Lepisosteus oculatus: one gene and its partners. The main gene of each other region encodes a partner of the protein of the gene in region 2 in a complex. Links are inferred from orthologs where the notes say so. Each region holds a gene or a part of one and is shown on either strand. Other genes may lie near its edges.

The links. Proteins that work in one complex are often made in the same cells at the same time.
Region 1: nup188 (region 2) and nup214 share a complex: the UniProt entries of both Homo sapiens proteins name them as parts of the nuclear pore complex. The link is inferred for Lepisosteus oculatus from reciprocal best matches to the Homo sapiens genes NUP188 and NUP214.
Region 3: nup188 (region 2) and nup85 share a complex: the UniProt entries of both Homo sapiens proteins name them as parts of the nuclear pore complex. The link is inferred for Lepisosteus oculatus from reciprocal best matches to the Homo sapiens genes NUP188 and NUP85.

The regions. Positions count from the first base shown.
Region 1 is NC_090719.1:15,565,355-15,573,340, reverse strand, and holds the start of nup214 (nuclear pore complex protein Nup214), read left to right. Parts: upstream 1-4,876; 5' UTR 4,877-4,895; intron 4,896-5,041; exon of another isoform or gene 5,042-5,076; intron 5,077-5,183; exon of another isoform or gene 5,184-5,607; coding exon 5,608-5,649; intron 5,650-6,314; coding exon 6,315-6,510; intron 6,511-7,036; coding exon 7,037-7,188; intron 7,189-7,579; coding exon 7,580-7,778; intron 7,779-7,986. UniProt on the Homo sapiens protein: Part of the nuclear pore complex. Has a critical role in nucleocytoplasmic transport.
Region 2 is NC_090719.1:7,420,789-7,429,010, reverse strand, and holds the start of nup188 (nucleoporin NUP188), read right to left. Parts: upstream 3,020-8,222; 5' UTR 2,985-3,019; coding exon 2,959-2,984; intron 2,079-2,958; coding exon 2,024-2,078; intron 1,537-2,023; coding exon 1,463-1,536; intron 1,275-1,462; coding exon 1,190-1,274; intron 691-1,189; coding exon 610-690; intron 485-609; coding exon 440-484; intron 1-439. Other genes in the region: dolk (dolichol kinase), read left to right, coding at 4,271-5,842. UniProt on the Homo sapiens protein: Component of the nuclear pore complex (NPC), a complex required for the trafficking across the nuclear envelope. Required for proper protein transport into the nucleus.
Region 3 is NC_090704.1:44,419,851-44,427,544, reverse strand, and holds the start of nup85 (nuclear pore complex protein Nup85), read left to right. Parts: upstream 1-4,584; 5' UTR 4,585-4,598; coding exon 4,599-4,706; exon of another isoform or gene 4,707-4,737; coding exon of another isoform or gene 4,738-4,770; intron 4,771-5,489; coding exon 5,490-5,583; intron 5,584-5,681; coding exon 5,682-5,844; intron 5,845-6,388; coding exon 6,389-6,459; intron 6,460-6,601; coding exon 6,602-6,645; intron 6,646-6,952; coding exon 6,953-7,022; intron 7,023-7,672; coding exon 7,673-7,694. Other genes in the region: small ubiquitin-related modifier 2, read right to left, coding at 474-605, 2,821-2,841. UniProt on the Homo sapiens protein: Essential component of the nuclear pore complex (NPC) that seems to be required for NPC assembly and maintenance. As part of the NPC Nup107-160 subcomplex plays a role in RNA export and in tethering NUP96/Nup98 and NUP153 to the nucleus.

The sequences.
Region 1 (7,986 bases), about 8.1 Mb from region 2:
TTTCCATTTAGGGAAACCAATTGCTAAATCAAAACCAGTTTCTCGGCTATTTTTAACAGCTGCTTTGGGATGTAAAAAAAGTAGATATATCCTTGCATAAACTTTATTATATTCACGAGTTCATGTCAAAAACAGCTATTTCTCTGGAGCGTTTTGTAAGCCCAGAGTTAGAAGGAGAATACATTTCTGCCTCACAGAAATATCACTATATTTAAATTTCTATTCTGTTTATTTGCAAACGTAAGTTGGGCACCTTCAACTCATTTTAATCCTATTAGACATTAAACTAGTTTTAGAAAACAAAACTACTGATCTCCCGTTCACACTATTTCTAAGACACGATATCATACTTTGTGGACTGCAGAGAAGTTAGACCACTGTCGAATAATCTCAGTCTTCTAGGGCTGGCATCCTGAGGTGTTTACAGGCATGTTTCAATTACCTACTCATTAAGACCTAAAAAACTTCAGTTCTGATCAAAATAACCAATTTAATTTAATAATTAAGATGAATGAAAATCAGACACTCTGGCTCTCCAAGACTGAGTCTCTGAATCCAGCAACCTTTTTAGATAAAGACATGCTCCTGATACAGCTTCACCTTGCTTTAGTATAAAAGCAAATGAAATGAGATATATAAATAGGTTATTCTAACTTCTAACAGCAGACTAATGAGCAGACTGTTGAATGGACCCGGGGAAGATTGAGATGGCTATCTATTGCTCCCGGTTATCTGCCTCGCTTAGCAGTGCTGTTGCAAACATGGGTTTCAAAAAGCCAGGCTGTTCATCACGCTCCTGATTAGGCAGCGCAGTCTGGCCTGCAGGGCTCGCATGTCATGTGCAGGCTTCTGGCAGCTCTTATGAAAGAGACTTTAAAACCTTCCTGGTTGAGGTGTAGCTAACAATAAACCACAATGTGCCCATAAAGCCCAGAACACTGGAGCGAACCTGAGTGGTGAAAGGACATTGCAGCTGACTGCAGTGGGTTTATTGTGCGGGCAGCACAGGTCCTTGACCACAGAGTGCAATGGAAGCAGACATTTTCTTAACCTTTTATGCTGGTTTTAGATTATGGCTCTCTGCAGTGTACTACAGCCTTTTGTCCAAGGGTTGCTCTTCAACTAAGGATTTTCTGTTGGGGAATTTTGAGCAGCACTCCATGAACACAATCTAAACTCTTACATGTCTGCATCTTCCCCGTAGGGTCCTTTCCATTACCGCTTGCCATTATTCCAGCAATCTCCCACCTAGTGTGTAGAATACAAAGCCGACGTGTTAGTCTCTTTTCTTCTAGACTAGGGTTTTCTTGACCACGAATGCTTTTGACTGACAAGAGCTATTAGGAAGGGAAGAAGGAATGTACATGTGCACTCTGGGCTCCACATGTGACTTCTGGAGCCTGGCGTTCACAGCTCTGTGACACTGTAATCCCATGCTCTATTTTAATTAGCTCTGTGCCACAACGCCGATTAAATGAAAAGAAGAAATTAGATTAGATAGTTTTATATTCAACAGATTGACTAAGGAGATTATTTTCATTATTTAATTTTAAACAGTCTGCTTGTTTATAACATGATATAATAAGTTAGTTATTTAACCGATGCTTTATTCCCAAACCGCCTTACATGTGTACCCATTTACTTACATGTCTGGGCATTTTGCTGGAGCAGTCTGAGTGCAGTATCTTTCTGAGAGGTGTAACAGGAGTTCCCCACCCAGGAATTAAACCCAAGCCTCCCAATTATGAGTCTAGACACCTAACTGCCATTTCACACTGCTACCAATACTATAATATAAGCTGAATCCTTGATAACACTAGAAATAAACTAGAAAGAACTACTATATTATACAGAAATAACCCTTTTTACCATACATTATGTAAATGAGACTCACTGGAAGGAGACTTTACAGTATACAGTATGTGTGCCATATTTTAATACCTATTTACACTGCCTGCACCCTGTAATGTTCTAAACACTAGTCACTAGTTAGAACACTTTGGCTAGTTAAAATACTTGTTTGCAGTAAACTGACAGATCAGAGAATTATTGTTATATTTTAAACATTCTGAATACCGTATAAAAATAAATAAGGCAGTTACAGGCAAAATTCAAAGGATATTGCTTTTCAACTCAAGGGAATTATACTGTACAATCAAGATCTGTGAATAATGGAAATTAAAAGCGGGAGGTTTAGGACTGGAAACAGGAGGCATTTTTTTTACCAAAATAGTGGTGGGTGTCTGTAACAAGAAAGACAGGAAAATGGGAACTGATCATGTCCCTTTCCTCCTTGGTGAAACTTTCCAAAATAATCAGACCAGGCTAAAGTTGTCTTTAGTTGATGACAGAGTATTAAAAGTCATAATTCAGGAATTGTGTTGCCCACTTGTCTAACTATTCCTTGTTACATATAGACAATATTTTCATCCATTAGGTTGATTTTATATTATAATCAACAGTTAAAGGCTTTGCAAGAAGGTTCTCTGGAATAAATTATCTACAAGCAGTCAAATGTGCAAGGTGGACTGAACAGCCTTCTCACCTTTGTTAACTTTCTCATGGATTTATACTGTCAAGATATTGACCGTTTTTGTGTTGTACTTTTCAATATTCTGTAGAACATGTACTCAGACACATCAGAGAGCCACAATATTAATACTTCAAAAGTAAGGTTAACAGATAACCAAACAGTAAAAGGAACATTTGGATCTAACTTTAAGTCTAAGTAAGATATTTTAAGTTAACAACAGAACAACAGTCAGAATAATTATCAACAGGGCTCCAAATGCACATAAGGAAAGCTGTTAAAAAGTTAGGAATATTCAATGCATTACAGCTCCTTAACCTTGTTTCAGGGTAACAGACTTTCTGATTGGCTTTCTGTTGTTTATGGATTGAGTTTTTTTCTGTTACCAAACTGCATAAACATGATGTCTAATAAATGAAATGGCATTTTAAAAAATGAATCAGAATTTAATTAGACATTTTCGAACGTTTTTGCAATTACAATAAGAAGTCAACAGTAGGCTTCTCAATGCAAAACCTGTTGAGTCTGTCCAACCCAGGGTTTTGGAAATGAAACCAACTGTAAAACAATTGCTACAAGCTTATCAGTGGGACTGACCTTTCCAAGTACAAACACTGTTTGTTTTCTTTTATTGTCAGTTAATCAGAAAGCCGTTTGCAGTATTGTTGTTTTGTTATGTTTTTGGTTAAAAAACAATAGTGCTAAAACCTACACATTCAATCTGAATTATTATTAAGATGCCATACAGGAATAAATGTGGATCTATTTTGATCCTTTTTTAACTATATCAGATTTAAATACAGGGATATGAATGTTTTAATAATGTTAATCTGAGGTTCTCATTGCTTGGTTTCCAAAGACCAAAGACCCATTGCCCTATTTGTAAGAGAAAGGTTGTTAAACCCTCAAAATCTCACCCACCAAGTTAAGTTCCCTCTTAATTTTATTGCAGTTATAGCAATTTTGCACTTCTTTACCTGATCTGCAGTGTAGTGGGGCTCCTAGGGGGGTGAATACAGTGGGCATATTTATTTTATGTATTAATGTACAGTAATATATACATAATAATAATAATAATAATAATAATAATAATAATAATAATAATACAGTACATACAGTCTCTCAAGTAATTTCAAAATCTTTGGGTGGAAAAGTGTTGTACAAAAATAATTCTGTACATTGTATTTGTTCTGTTTCTTACCTCAATGGGTGATGATTCAAACCAAGTTTCAATACATCACTCTTCTCGTTGCACAGTAACTTTGTTACGGTCACTTGTGAAATTTTGTCCCATGAATATCTATCACCATAGATAAAGGCATTACAAATCTAATTATCTAAACAAGTCTAATTATCGGGAGAATTTCAAAGAATATATTGCAGCGCTCTCGGGTTCACGGGGGTATGTGCCCACCTCAGGTCGGCCCCCCACCGCTAGGGACTCGAACCCGGGCCTCCGGTCACTCAACAGGGACCCCGCCCGTTGAGCTAAAGGGAAATCTCCCTGAGCCGCCCTCCCTATTCACAGGGAAGGGCGGTGACGTCACCGCGCCGGTAAGCCGGCCCGCTCAACCTGCAGTGGCGACCGTCTGCGGAAAACAACAACAGCATGTTGTTTTCCGTAGCAGTAATGGATCATAATCACATTTATGAGTAACCGTCGCGTACTTCCCAACAGCCTGTAATGAAAAGCTCCGTGAAGTTGCCCCCGCCTACACACAGCACAAACGACGAAACCCACCTCAATCGTTAGTGCAGCGTTTGTGCCGGTTTGTGCCGTTGAAAGTAACTTCCCAGCTGCTTTCGTTCCTTAGATACAACGTCTTCTTTTTCAGGGGTGACCTTGCCCAGAACCCCTACAACGTCGTAGGGAAACCGGACCGGTCTCAGTCGTTTGTGCCGGTTTCGTTCCCCAGATATAGCGCCTTGTCCTTCCGGTGATCACGCGACCTTGACCTCCAGTGACCCCGAGTTCAAGCGTCTGTGAGGGGTGCGAGAGGAACGGCTCTGCAGTTGTGTTCCTCTGTTTGCCCGGGTGGGGGGCGGCGGTGGATTTTGCATTAAATATCAGTGTCCTCTGTGCGTTGGAGTGATTTGTCACGAATATCACACACCCTAATCAGAAGAGTTGCGGGTGTAGTCTCAAAGAGAGAACACCAGCAAACAATTGCATGTTCTTACCAAGAGGCTTTAACGAGCACGTCTCAATACTTCGTAGCAGTGTGTGTTTAAAAAAAAAAACCCTGAAATGATCAGTTTCTCACCGTCTCCTTCTTCAATAAACACGCACCAAGGGACGTGTAAAGGCGGGGTCACTGGAGGTCAAGGTCGCCGTGCATGGTTACATGATCACCGGAAAAACAAGGTGCTATATCTGGGAACGAAAGCGGCACAAACACTACTTTCAACGACACAAACTGGCACAAACTTGCACAAACGAATGAAGTGGGTTTGATCGTTTGTGCTCTGTAGGGGGGCCAACTTCACGGAGCTCTGTAAGGAAACTATTAGAAAAACAGCGCCACATTGTGGACTATTTTAGTATTGTGAGTTTTCCAAGTGGTGTTTTATTTTTAACCATTTAGTTTTGTATTACTTTAATTTATGTCATATATTAGCACGTAGCAAGTATTGTCACACACACACAATATGTATTTTAGCTCATCAGTTTAAATTTTCTAACAACATTTTCCTGATACATTCCACTGTAACTTTCCTGAGGAATTCAATTTTCCAGCCAGGACAAGAGGTTGAAAAGTTTTACACGCACAGAAACAGCTAATGAAACACTTTTAATTTTTTTAATCAATTTTAGTAATGTTTAACACGACACCGTGACGGATAATACAGTAAATTGATTTTCTCAAGGGGAGGCGCCATAGTTTTGAATCTGTGACGTAAGACATGCGACGGATGTGTTGATTCTCAGTCGCACTGAGACAGAAGCCATGATGGTGTCAGGAGAATCATGAAACTATTGCGAATTTGAGTTTCAGACTAATTTGAAACTTAATACAGTTGACTGTTTTTCTGCTATTGCATTTATTAATTTACCGTTGCTTTTGCGGTGATACAAGATGAGCGACGATTTGGACGCAATTCCCGAAAGGGAAATGAAGGTAAGTGTTTGAAACAATTTGTGAAGCTTTCAGTTTACATTGGTCGATTTGCAGTACCGAGTGCACGACATCTTCGTGGTTTGCCTCTCTTAAGACTTTTACCGTGGTTGAGTGACAGCTGTGATTGTCGAAACACGATAAAGCTATTCTTAAAAAAGTATTTAGATACTCCTGTCACACTTTCGTATGTCTAGAATGTATTTTCTTATTTTGTAATGTGCTATTTGCCTTAGAGTTATACGATATTTTTAAGTTAAGCATTCAAATTATTTTCTTGATGATATGTTAGATTAGGCTTTACGTTTTTTCTATTCCATACCCATTATCTACGAGGATGCCGGCAAACATTTGAGCCTGTGTTGTTTTCACTTTCATTTCTTCGTTTCGAAAGTTCTGAATTTATCGTATACATATGTAAATCCGTCTTATTCCTGCTGGAATGGAAGGTGGTGCTTTTTAATCATTTTGCAAAAAACAGATCTTGTTCTTGTGGAATGCTGCCTCTGCGACTGAGGGATAAACTTCATGTCTGAGGTCCACAGACTGTAACGTAACTGTACAGCACTGTCAGTGTCTGTTACTTCAGTAAACAGTTTTTACAAGAGACTTTAAGGAGGACAAAGAGTACGTGCACGGCTTAAATGCTTTTTATTTGTTGTTTGCAGGATTTTCAATTTAGGCAGATGAAGAAGATCCGCATTTTTGACACCCCAGAGGAGTTGCCGAAAGAAAGGTCTAACCTGCTTGCAGTTTCCAACAAGTATGGGCTGACGTTTATAGGCTATGACACGGAGCTCAAAGTGTTCCAAACCTGTGACATCGTTGCAGCAAACCGGATTGAGGGCAATCCCAACGAAATAGGTACAGTGTGACTTCAGAGGGTGTTTACTTCTGAGCAGAGTGTGAACATGGATCATAGCTGATTGGTTTCCAGTTAGATTTAAACAATATAGTCAAGCCAGAGAAAATCCTTGCACTTGCCTGTATCAAATTCAGACTTAGGATCTGTACCCTAACATTTTGGTCCAAAATTGTATAGCTCTCTAAAGCCTGTAAAATAATTTTGAGTACTCTTGCATTGCAGTAAACAAATGCAATATTAAAAACATTTGTTTTTGCTTTACCTGTATGCATTTAAGAAGATTCCCACAGCTCTAAACCAAATCAGATTGCTGTGTTATAGGAGCCTTATGTGTATCCTTGTGCACAATCTGTAAAAGATTAGCATAACTTGTGCTTTTAGTTGTATACAATACTCGTGATAATTACATTTTGATCAATTATGTTATCAGTTTTGTGTTGCTATGGTATGTTCTTGTTTTGCAGTTCTATTGTGGCTGTGTTTCATGTTGATGCAGGAATTCATCTGGATTTCTCTGTTTTTCAGTGGAGGGTGTAAATGGTACAAGCGTTGCTCTGGAATCTCCTGTGCACCATGTGGCTCTGAGCTGTGATGAGCTCACCCTGTCGGTGTGCACGCTGTCCGCTGAGGGGGGGGGGAAATTGTCTTTCTTTGACGTCCGAACTCTGCTCAATAAGGTAGGCTTTCTGCACTGAAAGCTCCTTCTGTCATCTCGTCTCCCTGGAGCTTTAGAGGAGGTTTTCTGTAAAAGAGCTTTCAAGCATTAATGGGAAAAATAGCCTTCCAGCAGAGGATGGCGACGAGCATGAACCACTGTAGTTGCGTGTTTCTTAAAAAAGACTGCGTTTGACTGCAGCTTTATAACACAAAGCAATACATCCTCCCGGGTGGCAGTGAACAGATTCCCCACCTGTTGGCAGCGCAGCTCACTTGAATAGCAGCCCTGAGGCTGAGTGTACCTGCCGTATAGCCTGTCATTCAGTGCCAGCGCTCGTGGCAGCTATAGCTTTAACGTCAGGAAGGAAGGAGAAGGTCACCGCGTTGACGTGGCCGTGCCTCTCCCCTCAGGCCAGGCCAGAGAAGCTGCCGTTCACCAGCCTCAGGCCGGCCGTGCAGCCGGGGACCTCGGTGAAGGACCTGAAGTGGAACCCGGCCCTGCCCTCCCTCCTGGCGGCCTGCCTGTCCGACGGCAGCATGCTGGTTCTGGAGGTCCTGGACAGTGCCAAGCTGCAGGCTCAGTTGCCCCCCACTGAGGGAATCACATGTGGTGAGCGTGCTCCTCCGTGGCTAATCCGCCCCAAGATTAGTGTGCTCAGCCCATTAAGATGAACAGATCTGTTTAATGGGTTGTGATGCAGGTGCAAGGCCTTAAAGCACTGTTGTTGTATTGACATATCTAAAGTTACATGTACCGTGTGGCAGGGAGAGAGAGAGATTTCCCTTCATCTCTATTTTTGTGATTTGTCAAATTAATA
Region 2 (8,222 bases):
GGTTCAGAGAAAATAACTTGTATGATTACTGGATTAATTACACGATCATAGTCATGTTTTCGATTTTAAGTTTGATTGTAATTTTAACAAAGGCCTGTTCTTTTTTTCTATCTTAGAAGTTGTAATATATGCATGAATGAATTGTCCAAATACCCAATATACAACAAAATATGTACAGACTGTTACATTAGCTACCATCTCTGCTGCCAGAGACTCACAGACTCGGCAATTTTAAAACCTGCTCTTGCATCGGGACTCCTCTGTCTGGCCACGCTTGCCTTTGTCTTCAAATGGCCTGGTTTGCACTGTGCATTGGGCATCTTCTGATTAACTTCGAGAAACTCATGTCCCGTGCAGATCTGGTCAAGCATTTGCACCCCTGTTACATCATCAGGGTCTGATCATCTGATCTGCAGTTTCACACTGGATTCCAGCTTACCTTTAACAGCAGTGCTTGGCTCTGCCGCTCATCTTGCAGGACAGACTAATGTAAGAAAGAGAAACAAACAGATCATGTGAAAAGGGAAAAGTACTTTCCAAAAACTATTCCGTTTCCAGGTTGGTGAATTTTTCTATTTCATTATTAAGGCACTGGAAATCCTTCTCTACCTTTAAGGCATCCCTGGTGCCTCTGTAGTCTTCCTGCAAGTAACACTGCAACACCTGGACACTCTGCTGTTCATCAAGGCCCTGGAATACAGTAAATATACCATGTTGACATGACAAATCTGTGGCAATTTATTATCTCAATGGCAAAACAAAATCTGATGTTGCACATTCTCCATATCACAGGCTGCAATAGTACAATTTCTAATTACTTTATTAATACAAGTAGTTAATTTAATCAATTGCAAGAACTTGAATATGCTTCAGCACCTCTTAAAGAATAACAGAGCATTTTAAAGCACACAATCTCATTTAAAAAAAACTCACAAAGGTTAAAGATTATTTTTCACAAAAATAAACGTAAAGAACGCATAGCCAATGTAGGCATGTGTAGGTCAGGCACTATAACATTCCAATTACATACCGTATTGTACTAATTGGATTAAAGAATATGTTTGACATAAAATTCTGCATAATAATATAAAATTCCATCCAAAGGTAATTTATATTTTACACTTACCTAAACAGGAGATGTAATCCATTCTCAAAGATTACATTTACAAATAAATCTCATAACACTCACCAATAATTTACTGATTCTGAGACCAAAGTCTTTCAGTGGCTGGGCAACTTCTTTATCTGACTTCAGTTTTTCTGCAGCCGATGAACTAGAAAAAGAGAGATGCAAATATCAGATTACTGAATTAACTGATTTTAGATGTTTTGATTCTACGCTCTGTTGTCTGAATAATAGCAAACATATCTGCTTTGATCTTAATCATATATTGTACATTTGAACTATGATGCTATATAAAAAGGTTTACCTTTACAAAATAAGTGTTTATCAACAGCATACCTAGGTGGTTTGTAGTAACATAATCCTGATAGCAACCGCTCCCAGTTTCTGTCAAGCTCTGCTTCAATCTGGGCCTATTATTGAAAGATAAAACACGAATGCAGATAATAATGACAAACACATACAGCTACGCCTGTGATTCCAACAACAGTTACAGTTAAGAAAATCTAAAATACTCTAGATTTAGCTTTAATGAAAACCAAAGAAGAATATTCAGGTATCTATGACTGACTTCTTTATACATTCTCCTTATCCTAATAATTACATTTTATTTAAAAAATCACCAGTCACAGACTGCTCCCTTTGTGTGGATAAGAATGTTGCAACATTTTTCTCAATGTTTATTCACAGCATTAACAGGTTTTCAAGAAAATTGCTAGGCGGCATAGCAAGTTTCCCTGATCTTCATACATGTTTTCGGAGATGTAAATGGGAGTCATATGAACAAATTATGTAACAATACCAAAACCAAGAAAAAAAAACAAAATTGCACTGCTGATAATCATTTTTTAATTAAAGGGTTGCATATTCATGCAAACAGAATACGGAAAAAAACGTTACCGGTTCCCTCAAAGCCGATCTTCCCAACAAGATCGTCCAAAGTTCTCTGCTGGTCCTACAAAAATAAACGCATTCATCCCTATAAAAGTGACGAAAATAATCATAAATGACATTCCACGCACTTATACTTAGAGATAAACGTGAACATTTAAAAGCTTACACATCTGCGGCATATTAACACTGTTACGTACATTTCACATCTCACTGGTACGTCTGGACGCTACACACGATTTTTAGGGTCAGAAATAAGGAAAAAAAATACTTTACTCCAAAGTTGAAAGTGTCAAAATCAGATTCAAGTTACTGTATGTTCAAACCTCCGCGTTCAACTGTTTTGACATTTCTCGGCAGTTCTGTGTTAATGGAAGTTACAACATTTTGACAGTATACGTTTGTTTTCTTTTAAATTGTCTTTATTAAAGGGATGCAGCGTAACGGATCGTCCTTCGCATGAATTTTAGGAACCAATAGCCTACATTCATTCAAAGAACTAGGCACGTTTTCAATCTAGTTTTTAAGCAATTACTTCTGTTATAACATTGGCAATAAACCTAGATAATAGGACCACCGTACTATATAGTCTCAACAAGTTTTTTCTATACTGTTAATTGTTCTTGATCCGAACATTATTGGAGTATCTCGGAACATGGTACTTGTTATATACATATTTCCTGCCAATGAGAATAAGAAGCAATGTTAACTGCCTTCTAAAAAATTTCACTAACATGCGGCAGAAAACAGCACACATTTTTCCCTCCACATTGTAATAGCCATCCCATTTATAAAAGTAAGAACTAAAAGGAAAACGTCCAAACGTCTAAATAACTATTCATTCATTTCATTTTATCCTTCCTCATTACATTTCCCATTCAGACATGATCAGTTTTGTACAATGCCATACATTAAAAGAACACTTTTGCTTTTCTTTCAAGTACCTGACACACATCTCCGAGTCCGCCATATTCCCCCCTACACGTGACACCTCCTCCGGTCGAACACCCTGGTCATGTGACGGGTGCCCCGGGTTGGAAAGAATAAAAAAAACACTTCCGAAGCCGGCAACTGAGATGCGATCACTGTGTAGGAAGCAGAAAATAAAATCCGCCCTATTCATGTGATCAAGCTGTCAACATGGCCGCCTCCTAGATGTTAAAGACTAAAAAAAAAATTATACGATCGAATGAAAGTACGCACAAAACGTGTTATGATCGCGGTGGACATGTGAAGTAAGTTAATTAACACATTTTATGATATCTGGGTAGTGTTATCAGTTGGCTTTTGCAAATTCATGGGGATGTTGCTTGCATGTCAGATATCTTGTACCTTGCACCCAGTTCCGTTATGTTGTAATTTCATACAATCGATTGGCTACCAACCAGTCTTGTTAAACCACAAAAGGCCTCAGTTAAAGCGGACTCGAATGCATTTACCGTGGAGCTCTTAAATATCCATGCGTTTCTCGTGTTTTCAATTTTGAAGCTTTTAACTATGGATAGGAAATTACGCACCTGCAGCCAAAAAACGCTGTCTGAAATACATTGTTTTATACAATAGCCGTTTAACAATGTCAGTACTAGTCTACTTCAGTGGAGTGGTTTTATGAAAAAGCACAGCGTTAAGGTAAGCTGACTGTCAAATTGTTACATGTTTCACAAGCTTTGTTAGGAACAGAGTGGTGTTTGAAACAAAGAGCATTAATGTTTTAAAGAGAGGAGGCCATCCTGCTGATCTAAGTCGCTTGGGTGATACCGATACAGTACTAAGCTAAGTGATCCGAGGATTTCGTCGGGCTGCGTCTTGAAAGACGACATTACACGACCATAAAAGAACGTTTTTATTCTCTTCTAACCGGATACTCCGCGGATGTGTGATGACGAAGAGTTTTATTAAATGTTTTATTACGTGGGGAGTAAAAGCACGTTTCCATGATTTGCTTACTTTTATTACGACAGAATTGTAGTATTTTGCCCTGGCCGTTGGCATTTCTAATTGGTGACGTCTCTCGTGTCCGTGAGGGTACATCGGCTTGCAAATACGCTATAGAAAAAGTGACAGAATTATAGAGTTAAATCATTCCACCGACCGAGACTAACACTGTAATATATATATATATCGATAGGTGGCGTAAGAATGAAGAATGGAAAAATGTGAAGCATTACATCAAGGAAGTGGCCTGCCCTGGATGCAAGAAAATACCGATAAATAGCAGTTTTGAGAAGCACCCCTGAAGCTGCAGGATCTGCAACCATGCTGACGAATCCTGTGTTCGTGGAGTCAGTTATTGTTTTCACTATTGTTTTGTGTGTCCATTTTGTGGTTTGGAATCAGCTGTCATGGTGTTCCATTGCCTTGGCCATTCAAGCCTTCTATGTCCAGTACAAATGGGACCGCCTCCTGAAATCTGGCGGGGCTGTGTTTCAGTTCAGACCCTCTGCGAACAGTGGCATCCTGCCCGCTTGCATGATCATGCCTCTACTTGGCCTGGCCCTGAAAGAGCGCTGCCAAGCCTCCGGAAATGTGTACTTCGAGCGCTTTTCAATGGTGGTCACCGCGACAGGGATGATGCTGGCTCTGTTTCTCTCCCTGATTGCCCTCGGCATCACCAGGCCTGTGCCGACCAACACCTGTGTCATTTCTGGCATTGCTGGTAGCGCCGTGATCTACACGATCAAGCAAACCCTAACGGTCTCTGAAGTCATTGAAGTGCTGGAGGTGCTTCTGATCTTCGTCTACCTCAGCCTGATCATTCTGTACCTCCTGCCTCGCTGCTTCACTCCTGGTGAGGGCCTCATCATCATCGGTGGTATTAGCTTCATCATCAACCAGCTCATTAAGCGCTCCCTGAATGCCCCTGAATCCAAAGGAGATCCCATCAACTACTTCCTGCTAGTGATCGTGGTTGGATGTCTCTTGCTGGGGATCTTCTTCACCCTGCTCTTCTGCTTCATGGAGTCGGAGACCTGGGTGTCCTCCCTGTTTTTCCACATGATGACGGCAGTTCTTGGCTTGGGGATTATCATGCCATGGCTTGCCCTCCTGATCCGAAGGCACCCCTTAATGTGGCTGATCGACTTCCTCCTCCTGAGTCAGAACAGACTCTGCCTGCTGGCCTACTGGGTCCTGCTGGCAGTGCTGGCGTCTCTGGTGGTGTTCCACCAGAACTACAAGAGGTCTTTGGGGTCCAAGAAGCACCAGGCCTCTACAGTCGTGAGGAAGTACTTCCATTTCATTGTGGTGGCCACGTACGTGCCCGGGCTGATTTACGACCGTCAGCTTCTGCACGTCGCCTCCGTCACCTGCTTGGCCGCCTTCCTCCTCCTGGAGTACGTCCGCTACTTTCGGATCAGACCCGTCGGGCACCTCCTCCGGCAGCTGCTGTCTCTGTTCCTGGATGAGCGAGACTCCGGGCCCCTCATCCTCACCCACATCTACCTTCTCCTCGGGATGTCCCTTCCCATATGGCTGTACCCTGGACCCTGCATGCCTAAAGGAAGCCTCCCAGGAGTGGGGGGACTGGTGCCCTATGCTGGTGTGCTGGCCGTCGGTGTTGGGGACACTATGGCATCTGTGTTCGGCAGCACCATGGGAGAGGTCCGGTGGCCCGGGACCAAGAAGACCATGGAAGGGACAGCCACTTCGATCTTCGCCCAGATTATTGCTATTGCTCTTTTCCTCATTTTTGATGAGGCCATTAACTTGAACACCAGCTATGCTTGGATAGTAGGATCAGTCACACTGGTTTCTTTACTAGAGGCCTACACAGCCCAGATAGACAACCTCCTACTACCCCTTTACCTTTTTATACTGCTCATGCTATGAAGGTAAAAGAACATTAAAAGCCCTTTCATTTTTTTAATGCTTGTACTGTATCTCCTTACAGTACTGAACAGAAAGTCATATTGAAAATATTCCAACAGTTCAGGGGTTTGAGGAGTTTGAATCAAATTGCATTTCTACATTTACTGCTATTTTTTTGAAGGCAAAGCAGCTTTAGCTTTGGAATGAGAAGAATACTGCACTCTAAGGCTAGCTGTACTTGAAAGCACTTTGGTTAATCAACACTGGCCACTTCAACACTACAGCAAGAGTAAGATATTTAAGGCAGATTAATCACAATTCAGTATAGTTATGGGTGGTCATAGCAACATAAGAAGTAAAAAAAATGCTATTTAGTGTCTCTGTGGCAGTGTTAGTTTTTCTATTGTTTGGGTAGAATTTAGGAATTGTATTTTGTCAAAATAGCGCTGATAGTACTTTAGCAGTTTTGTTCCTGAGTGAGTATTAAAAGGGGAGGCTCAATATACTTACTGTAATATATCCCTTTGCAGTTCCAGCTAGCGCACGAGTCCCAAAAGTATTTCATAATATTTTTTTCAGATGGTGCACAGCAAAGAGAAGTCAAAATACTGTTTTTCATTTTGTAATATGTAGTTTAGAATCAGTTTACATCTGACAACAATTACACCACCTAGTGATTATGGAAGTAAATTGTGAATGGTGATGATGCCTTTTCCTTAATCAAATGTACATTTTTCTCACCCTAAAGCTTAAGCTTTATTGAGGAATTTTTTACTTGAATTTCTCCGTTCCATGTTTCCTCAGCTTTTAACATGATTGCAGCAGATATTTGTCAAACCACTATTTTTTTTTCAGAATGTAAATTTGTCTTTCTCATTTCTGTGGAAGTACTAGAAATATTAAGACTTGGATGTGAAAAAGCATTGTGAATACTATATCATTACGGGCACCGAATTTAGCTAGAGAAAAATGTAATAATTGAAAGTATAGATATGTGATCTATTTAGTTTTTATTAGACATTTTATATGACTGAACAAGTACTAAAAATAACAATTTCAGTGGTGGAACCTTCTTCAGGTTTTTATATAAAGGTTTTTAGGTTCTTCTGCATAACCTAATATAAGCTACAGATTTAAAACCTTGAAAATAGACCTCAGTTCTGTATTTGTATTTCCTCTTATAGCTGTCAAGGAATTCCCTTGACTACAGTTAAGTTTGGCCACCAATCATACGAGTAAACACGACTGCCTTAAATATGTCTTCTCTAAGACCAGCATGTAGTAAACTATCTTTTGCCTCTACTTTGGCTTGTAAGTGAGTTGCCATGCTCTGCATACTCACTAGATGGCAATATGCTACATCACTAAGCCAGTCTTCTCAAAGTACTGTAAAATATATCTATTATTTAAACAACATTTAAAAAGTCACTTGTGCATTATGTAACACTGTCATACAGAGGGAGGACACATAGTTTAGTTTCTAATTAGGAAAATTCTAGCTAGCTAAGATTCTACAACCTTCTTTCTGTTATATTCACTGAAGATTGATCTACATATCCTTAATGTTAATTGCTGTTGCAACACACTAGTAATGTCTACAAAAATAAATAGTATCCCAGGTTGCCCTTATTTTACTTTTCAATTGTCCATTTTTTATTTAAAAAAACACCAGATTTGAAACTGCGCTTAGAGTCCTGGTCCTTTCTTCAACACAATAGACTGAATTGTATTCAGATGCTGCATTTCTTGTACTGTATGTCAGAAGAAGCAGAGTTAAAAACTCTCAGTTTCAGGGACAAAAAAAAAAACTATCCTGTAGGTATTTAATTATTTCGCAGCAAGGTATTGAAAATGGCAGATCATCCTGCAAGACTTTAAAACCCAGCTACTGAAAGGGTTGTGACCGTCGAGGACAAACACAACTCCTGTAGTCAGTTGTAAGTTTCAATCATTAGAGCAGCTCACAGCTGTTGCCCTAAATGTAACAGATTGTGTGTTATGCAACAGCAGGAGAGGAGAGGTATTACCGAAACACACATGCTTCATAAAAGGGGCTATAAAAATAGTTTTGGCTGGACTCCCTGTTAAATCGCAGTGTGGTGCAGCAATTTATCAGAACACTCCAGCAGCTAAGTAAGCTCTTTGTTTCATTTTGTGTTTTCATTCGTCTGGGGAAACCTTGTTCATTTTCTAATTAAGATGATTGTGATGCCACACAGGTGCATGTCATAGCCTGGTGGTACTGTGAGGCTACATTGTTTTTGGAGAGGCCTACACATTTCTGCCAGTGGCTTTCTATATTGTTTTAATTTGGGCCAACTTTTTATTTGGGCCAACTTCTGATGTGGTACGCATTTCATAAAGGCAACCAAGAAAAGTGTTTTAGATATGTTTATAGTTT
Region 3 (7,694 bases), on a different chromosome or scaffold from region 2:
AGAGCAATGCTGCTAGGGAAATAATCCTAAACCAGCCTGACAAGCCTCTGAGGAGTTTGGATTAAAAGCATCATTCCGCAGAGTAAACCTGCACACCTAGAACTAAGAAGCAGGGGGTGTTTTACATTAAACACCAGTAACACTTAGCCGTCTATCTGAACAGCTTCTAGTGCCTTAGGCATCTTACATAAAAAAACATTCAAAGAAGAATAAAAATCCCTAAATGTTTCCCACATGTATGTAACTTGTCACTCATAATAATGTTACCGTTGCATTTGAAAATGAAGGAATACATACCATTTACAAAATATTCTATTAAGCTCTGAAGCATTTTAAGCCCCTGGGGAAACTGAAACCCCAAGGATGTCAGGGACCAATGTCTGATGTGCAGTAATGGCATTAAAAGCTGAGTGCCTACCTCCAACCCAAGGCTGTGCATGTCCCCACCCCTACACGCTGCTCCCCAGCCATACCTGTCTCTCGCAGTAAGCTTTCATGAGTTTGCTGAGTGGCGTGTGTCTCTTGATCTTAAACTGCACCACGGACCCATCCTGCCCCGCCACCTTCAGGTTAATGTGGTCGTTGTTTTCCGTTTTCACTCCTTCCTAAAGGACAGAAGCCACAAGACACAATAAGAACCTGCTCATTCTGTGGGAAGCCTCTGCCTGGTGAGTCTTCACATTATTATCCTTCTTCTTCCCTGGTTGGCATTCTCCATATACTCAAGCAGCAAACAGGGCAAATTACTCAAGTCTACAGATCTACCAACAGAGGGAAAAAAAGGAGATGCTGCAGCTCAACTTGGGTTTTTTTAGTGAAAAACATAAAATCAGGATAAGACTTCTTCAAGAGTCTTCCTTCTTCACATTCTTCATCTGGAATCTGAGACTGGATTCCCGTTGAGGGAGTCTGGTAAGAATGCATTAATGAAGAACACTGTGATGAATCTTCTCCAGGTTGTTTATACTGCTTCTAGATCAATGAAAAACTCCTGCCAACTAGAAATGCTTCTATATCAAATCCCCACCTTAGCATGTACCACATATTTCGTTCTCAGGGATAGATATTCTTTAACAAGAGGGACTGCAGAATACATCTCGTTCAAGCCACTACAGAAACGCTCACACAAAATGAAAATAAATGGGTTGTGTATTCGCGTCACATCACCCATGTCTTCTTTGTAAAAAAAAAGTTTAAGACCTACACATACACTGCACAGGTGATTGACACGGAAGGCCAACCACAAAACCTAAACCTTTCGGTGCAAGGTGTCCTCAGCTAAAACCACCCCTGAGAGTTGGGAGCTTGAACTAAGAAGAAGGGATTAAGGAATCGGTAAGTCTGGCTCAGCGAGCATAAACTAGATGTTGTTCAGAAAAGGCCAAACGATGGTTGCAAGGCCTGTAAGAAGCTTTAAGCCACGCACGGCTTGCTTTAATTCTACAGGAACATTTCGCAGTTCCCCCCCAGATTCCTATCGGTGCTCCTGTGCTTACTCCTCTCCTTCCACTGCGTGGCACTGTCGCCAGCAAAAACCCCGAGTCCCATGGAATAAGACAGCAGTCACTTTAAAGGTAAGGCTGTGAAGCAAACTGTCCCCACAGCTTATCTTCCACAACACGGAAACCCACAAAACTTTTTTTTCCCAGCGCTTAAACAACAATAAGCTTACATTTAGCGGTTTTAACTCTACAGAGGGTACGTAAAAGTGCACAGTATAAAAGTATAAAATCCACATATTTCTTGGATTAGAGACTGAAAAACCACATGTTTTGCAGTTAGCACATAAATGTTATGAATTAGAATACTTACTCCTGTTCACAACTTATTATAAGTCTACAATGTCTACTTATTATTTGAAACCACTATCTTACTCATGCGATTTTGTGCGTCTGAGAAAAGTACTGTAAACATTAACGAATGACTTCAGTTGTCCAGGTTAAAAAAAAACACACACCTTTGTGTCACCGGTCGGCATGCTCGTGTCCATGAAAATATCTCCACGCTCGTGGGAAAGGTCTGACAACTACACTTCCCACCCCACCCCCCCACAGACAGCGAGACCAACTGCGCACGGAAGAGCTACACTTTGGGCATCTGGTGAGCACCATCATCTGCTCAGGTAGAGAGCGGAGGTGGGACAGATGATGTATCCGTAAGGGTCTTCTTTATTTTATTTTTTTTTTACCACTGCCGGCTTCCGACCCGTGTGTTGTGGAGGAGGTCGCCCTTCCTTAGAAGCGGCTCAAAACTTCGGGTGGAAAGTGGAAGGTGCGTCCCCCGTCCCCCCAACCCACCCCGTCTCTCCCGACGCCAGACATCCCAACCCGGCCTCTCCCGAAGCGAACGGGGAGGGGAAAAAGACGAGCCTGACACCACCGGCGGCGGTGGTCCGGGGGAGAGAGGGGGCATCAGCGGGCAGCCCGGGCCGCCGGGGTGTTTTGGAAGACATCAACTCCCAATGAGCGCGCAGCCCGACACACGCGAGGTCCACACTGGGCCCAAAACAAGGAGAGCAGACCGGGCCCCCTCGCCCCCAGGACGGGCCCCCGGCCGCCCTCCGCGGCGTGCCGCAGAAGCGGGGCACTCCTCGATTTTAGAAAACGACTACTAAAAAGAAGAAAAAAAAAGTTAAGATCTTTTCTGATTGCCCGCCTCTGCAGGCTCGCTCACATCCCTTCCGGTGCTAGACCAGCGGTAGATTTCGCCGATCGCTTGGCTCACAAGTCAGCGGAGATACCGATGAATCGATCTCACTTAGGAAATAACGCGTATGAGGAAGACGCGGGCATTTCGTAATCAGCTTTTTCTTTTGCTCACCTTGGGTTTTTCGTCCGCCATGGCTTTCCTCTCCGCGTCTCTCTACGCCGCCACACAAAGAGTAAGTCGGGAGCGCGCACGTCCTCGCCGCCGACTCATTAAACCGGCATGGCGTGCGCGGGCACGAGACATTGCTCGTCCGCGGCGCCCGCTGCTCACTGGACGGAGGCGGTCACGAGGGCCGGCTCCCCGTGCTCGCCTAGGCGGGAGTGACGTCATCCACGTTATTGGCCGCCGCGCCGCCGCTCGTGCACGCGCATGGCGAAAAAATTATGTTCATCTTTTTTAATTTGTTTTGTTTTACACGGATAGAGAGAAGCATAAAGGAATCCCACTCGACCGAAAAGTAACATTTTTCTCATGCCCTGGCTTCTGGGATAGACATTTAAAACAACATTCATAATTATAGTGTATTCTGGGAATGTAGGTGACCAAAGGACAATTTCTGGAAAATTCTGATGGAGCAGGCTGTGGAAGCCATCTTGTTTTCCTGTGTGGTGGGTTGTTTTTCACCAGTTACAAATTATCCACAGTACAAAGACACAGTCAAACCCTTTTTTTCAGTTAAAAGAGAGACATTTTCCAAGAAGGTGTTAATAATTAGCTTTACTCTTCGCGGGACAAAGTAATTATTTTGTAAATGCCAAAATTCCAATTCCATGACATAATTTCATGAATTTGCCATTTAAAATAAACATTACCCTGGGTTGTGCTTTCCAACATTTCAGGCATATGAAATGCAAGATTTACTGGGACACTGGGAAATTGACCCCCAGTTGCTCATGGTTCACCACAGGGGCAGGCCCTATCTTCATCATACAATAGTAATTACCTATATCTTATAACTACACCACTTACCCTTACATTTAGATTCTTAAAGTAAGAAAAGCAAACTTGCAAAACTCTTTTGAAGCTTATATGCATATATCACATAATTTATAGTGGTTCCTCCATGCTCTTTGACACTTAAACGTTGAACACTGATTATTATAGCCACACTATACAGTGTGTCAACAGTAGTAATAACAACAGAATTTCTGTTTCATGTAGTTCTAAATGTTTGATGCTGTATCTGGTGTGTTTATTGAGAAGGATTTGTGGTTGGTCGTTTTTCTAAATAAACATGAATTGTTAAAGGTATTATGTCATTGTATGACATCTTTGAATAAGTAGTTTTAAAGCCTTTCTCTTTCTCCCCTCTCGAAGGGGCAGGTTTATTACCAGCTAGACCCAAAATTATATGAAAAAGTGTGCTTTGTGCCACATGGACATCCAAATAAATAATTATTTAAGAAGTAAGCGACCATATCCTTTGACCTTTTAAACATCAGCATTAGAACCACAATCAGTAGTCTTCGAACGTAAACCCAGTAGTTAATTGAATGCGTCCATTTGTATTTTCATCAAACATTAAAATGATCATTTATATTTAAAAAAAAATCAATCTCCAGTTTAAAAATACCCCCCCACTATGTTTCTGTTCCAGTTCACATGTGAAAAGAGAGACCAGTTCCTTTCGTTTGAGAAGCAGGTTCCCTCCAGCACAGATGATCACAAAAATATATATTTTTTAAAAAGTATGTATTTGAAACAAATATGTCCACGTCTAAAATACTGCCGTATTTCGTGGTGAATAAATCACACAAAAACTCAAATGCCTAAACGCGGTTTTAAAAGATATGAAACCCAGGAACAACCATCAGCTGCGTTCAACACTTTTGCTTTCACAATATTTTACGCAGGCATCTGAGTAGACAGTCCGGCTCAAGCCCGGGCACATGGGGTCCTGTCTCGTTTTTTTTACAAAAATCTCAATGCGCTTAGTTTCTTACACATGCGAATTTTTTTTTGATTCACTTATTGCGGAAGGAAACATCTTTGCAAAGGTTTATTTTTTTTTTTCATTTTCGGTAGGAAATGGAGGAGGTGGATGTCGAGCCGACCACAACAGTATGTTCTCTCTCTGGTTTATAATTTGTAACTCGGGGGGGGAACCGTATAGAAACACTGTAGAGGGATGTCTGTTCAGTTTTGTAGTCGCACATTTGCCTAAAGAAAGCGGGTGTTTGCTAGCTCCTGAAATGAAGAAGAGGCGGCTGTAATAAAGACTACGAGTGGTCTTCGCCTCTGTTTGAATTTGAGGCTGAATTTGTCACGTTTCCAGTTGTGCCAGCGCTTTGACGCGATCCCGGTGAAATTAGGATATTTGGTCATTCAGAACTTCATGAAACATTATTGCACAGCATTTCACGACCTCTTTTTATTGTTCGGAGATGGTTTCAGGGGATCGCTTTTCTTGCAGCTAGGAGTAAATGTTAAGGGTTTTTTTTTTTTGGTCTGCCGGGCAGGAGGAGGGTCGTGAGTTCAAATCCCGGACGTTTCGCCGCTGTCGTCTTCTCTCAGTCAGGCAGCTCACTGCCGGTGCCGGTGCTCACTGCGAACGAGAACATGTTGTTCAGGACCCCTTTCTGATTTGACAAAAGGATTCATTTAACTTAATTATAAAAAAAAAACGTAATGCACAGCTCAGTCCTGAACAAGACCACTTGATTAGAGAAAATAAAAGGTAGCACAGAGACGCGTTTAGTGTCCTGTCTGACTCCTGGTTTCGATTTAAAGTATATTATTATTATTATTATTATTATTATTATTATTATTTTATTTTGCAGCTCATCCCAGGTGTTGACTTCAGGCAGAAGCACTTGGGCTTTGTGTGGGGTCCCAGGGACATACTGACCTATGAAACTCAGTACAAGACAGCAGGTGAGGCTTCCCTGCCGTTACACGGTGCCTGTTTCTGGGTGATTCTTTTTTTGCTACAGCTCAAACGGAGACTTGTTCTTCCTTGATCGCCCCGTCAGGAGCCCCGGCTGCGTTTGCGAGCTGCCCGTGGATCCACATGGTCAGGAAGGATGAAGACATCTACTCTCCCATCCTGCGCAAGCTCTTCAACGAGTCCCACCACATCTTCGTCCAGCTGCAGAAGAGCACAGACGACACCGCCAGCAAGGCCAAGAAGCCTCGGTACACGGCCTCCGTCACCATGGAGATCCGTAGAAAGATGGCTTACTGATTTTGAGTATCTGACGGGGGTGTGGGTGGGGGCTCTGTTCTTTTGTCGTAGTAACGTTTCTCATCCATGTGGGGTAAAATCCATGCAGGATGAATCTGGTCATTGTGACGAGTAATGTACCATTTCAAGTTTTTTTTTTTTTTAAATGCTGTGGTCAAATAAGATAAGATTTTTATTGTCCCCTGTGTGAATTTTTTTATGGACACCTAGCACTCCTGTACATTTAAATAGAATGCAAACAAAAGAAAAGAAAAACATTGCACATTATTCTATTACATAAAAATAAGAAAAACATTGCACATCACTCTGTTGCACATGTACAGTATAACGCATAACAACATGTAACATTTATAACACATCCCAAAACTCAAGGGGTTGTAAGAGTGACTTCTCTGAGAATGAGAATTAAAAATGAGATTAAACGACTTCTCTGCACAATTCACAGCAAACCCAGACACGATGCAGGATGCTTGAACTGTCCTCCTGTATTTGCAGGTTTGTCAGCATTAGTAAGAACTACCGATCAGTGATCCGGGCCTGTATGGAGGAGCTCCAACAGAATGCAGGTACCAAGAGTTTCACTCCTGTCATGCAGAACATGTCTCATGGCTGTGACAGCAGTATCTGCAGGGTGATTTTTTAAAAACTATCCTTTTTCGGTTTCTTAGCACTGCCATTAATTTGTTGTGATTTTTCTGTTCCCTGCAGTTTCTGCACGTGACGCGGCTCTAGCAACACAGTATGGCAATCAGGTTGGGAAAGCTCTTTTTGAAGCTTCTTGCTTCATACGCATTGATGTAACTGAATTGATTGCATGCAAACTGTGGAAAAGCATAGCTTCTGACACTGCTGCAATTCTCATCTTCCCTTGGGCTTCAGCAGAGTTGCTGGGGAGGAGGTAAAAAAATCACGTCAAGAGACGTTTTGTGGAAACTCAAAAGCTTTCAATTAGGAAACTGTAAAACTCATAAGGCTGAAAGTAACTAAAGATGGACAGAGTGGTCTTTTTACCCCTTGACGTTCTCCAGACAAACTAAAGATCTGTGCATATCCATACAGGTGTCAATTCTGTTGGCAGTGGAGCTCATCTGGAATCTATGTGAAGTCTTGTTCATCGATGCTGCCCCAGGTTTGTGTTTTATGCATCCAACTTTACAGACTGTATTCATGAACATGAGCTCGTGAACATTAGTTTTTGGGTAAAGGTTGATAGTGTTTCTGTGAAGGTAAACCTGGCCCCTTCCAGTTTCTGTAAAGTATTGTATGACATTCCCATCTTTCCTAGTGATTACAATTAATTACATTTATTAATTTGGATGGTGATTTTTTTACAAAGGGTTTATTAATTGCATCTGGTCAAGATGGGAAGCTTGCGGTTTTAACAGTAGTTCCTGTATGCTCAGTCTCCCAGCAGCGTGAATGTAGTGGAACAAATAAAGGTTAATTCCATGTTGAAACGTAGTAAGAAAGATGAGACAAAGAAAGGGGAGAAAAAGTGTCCAAACAAAGAGAGACTTGGGGGAGAGGTGTGAAAAGATTAAATCTGTAAATGGATGGAGAGGTTCTAAAAATAATTTTTCATTTGATCGAAGGGGGAAGGTGAGATGAAAGGTTAATCTTGGCTTCTGGAAAGCCACTGTACACACTGACCTTCAGCCAGATGAAAATGGTTGTGTAGGCTCACCTTGCCCTGCCTGTGTGTTGGGAGAGAGTGCAGGGTTAGTGATGAGCTGTCTTGCATGTGGTTAACGGTAAATGTTTGCAATCATTCCTTTCAAGCTGGCACCCTTCTGCTGCACCT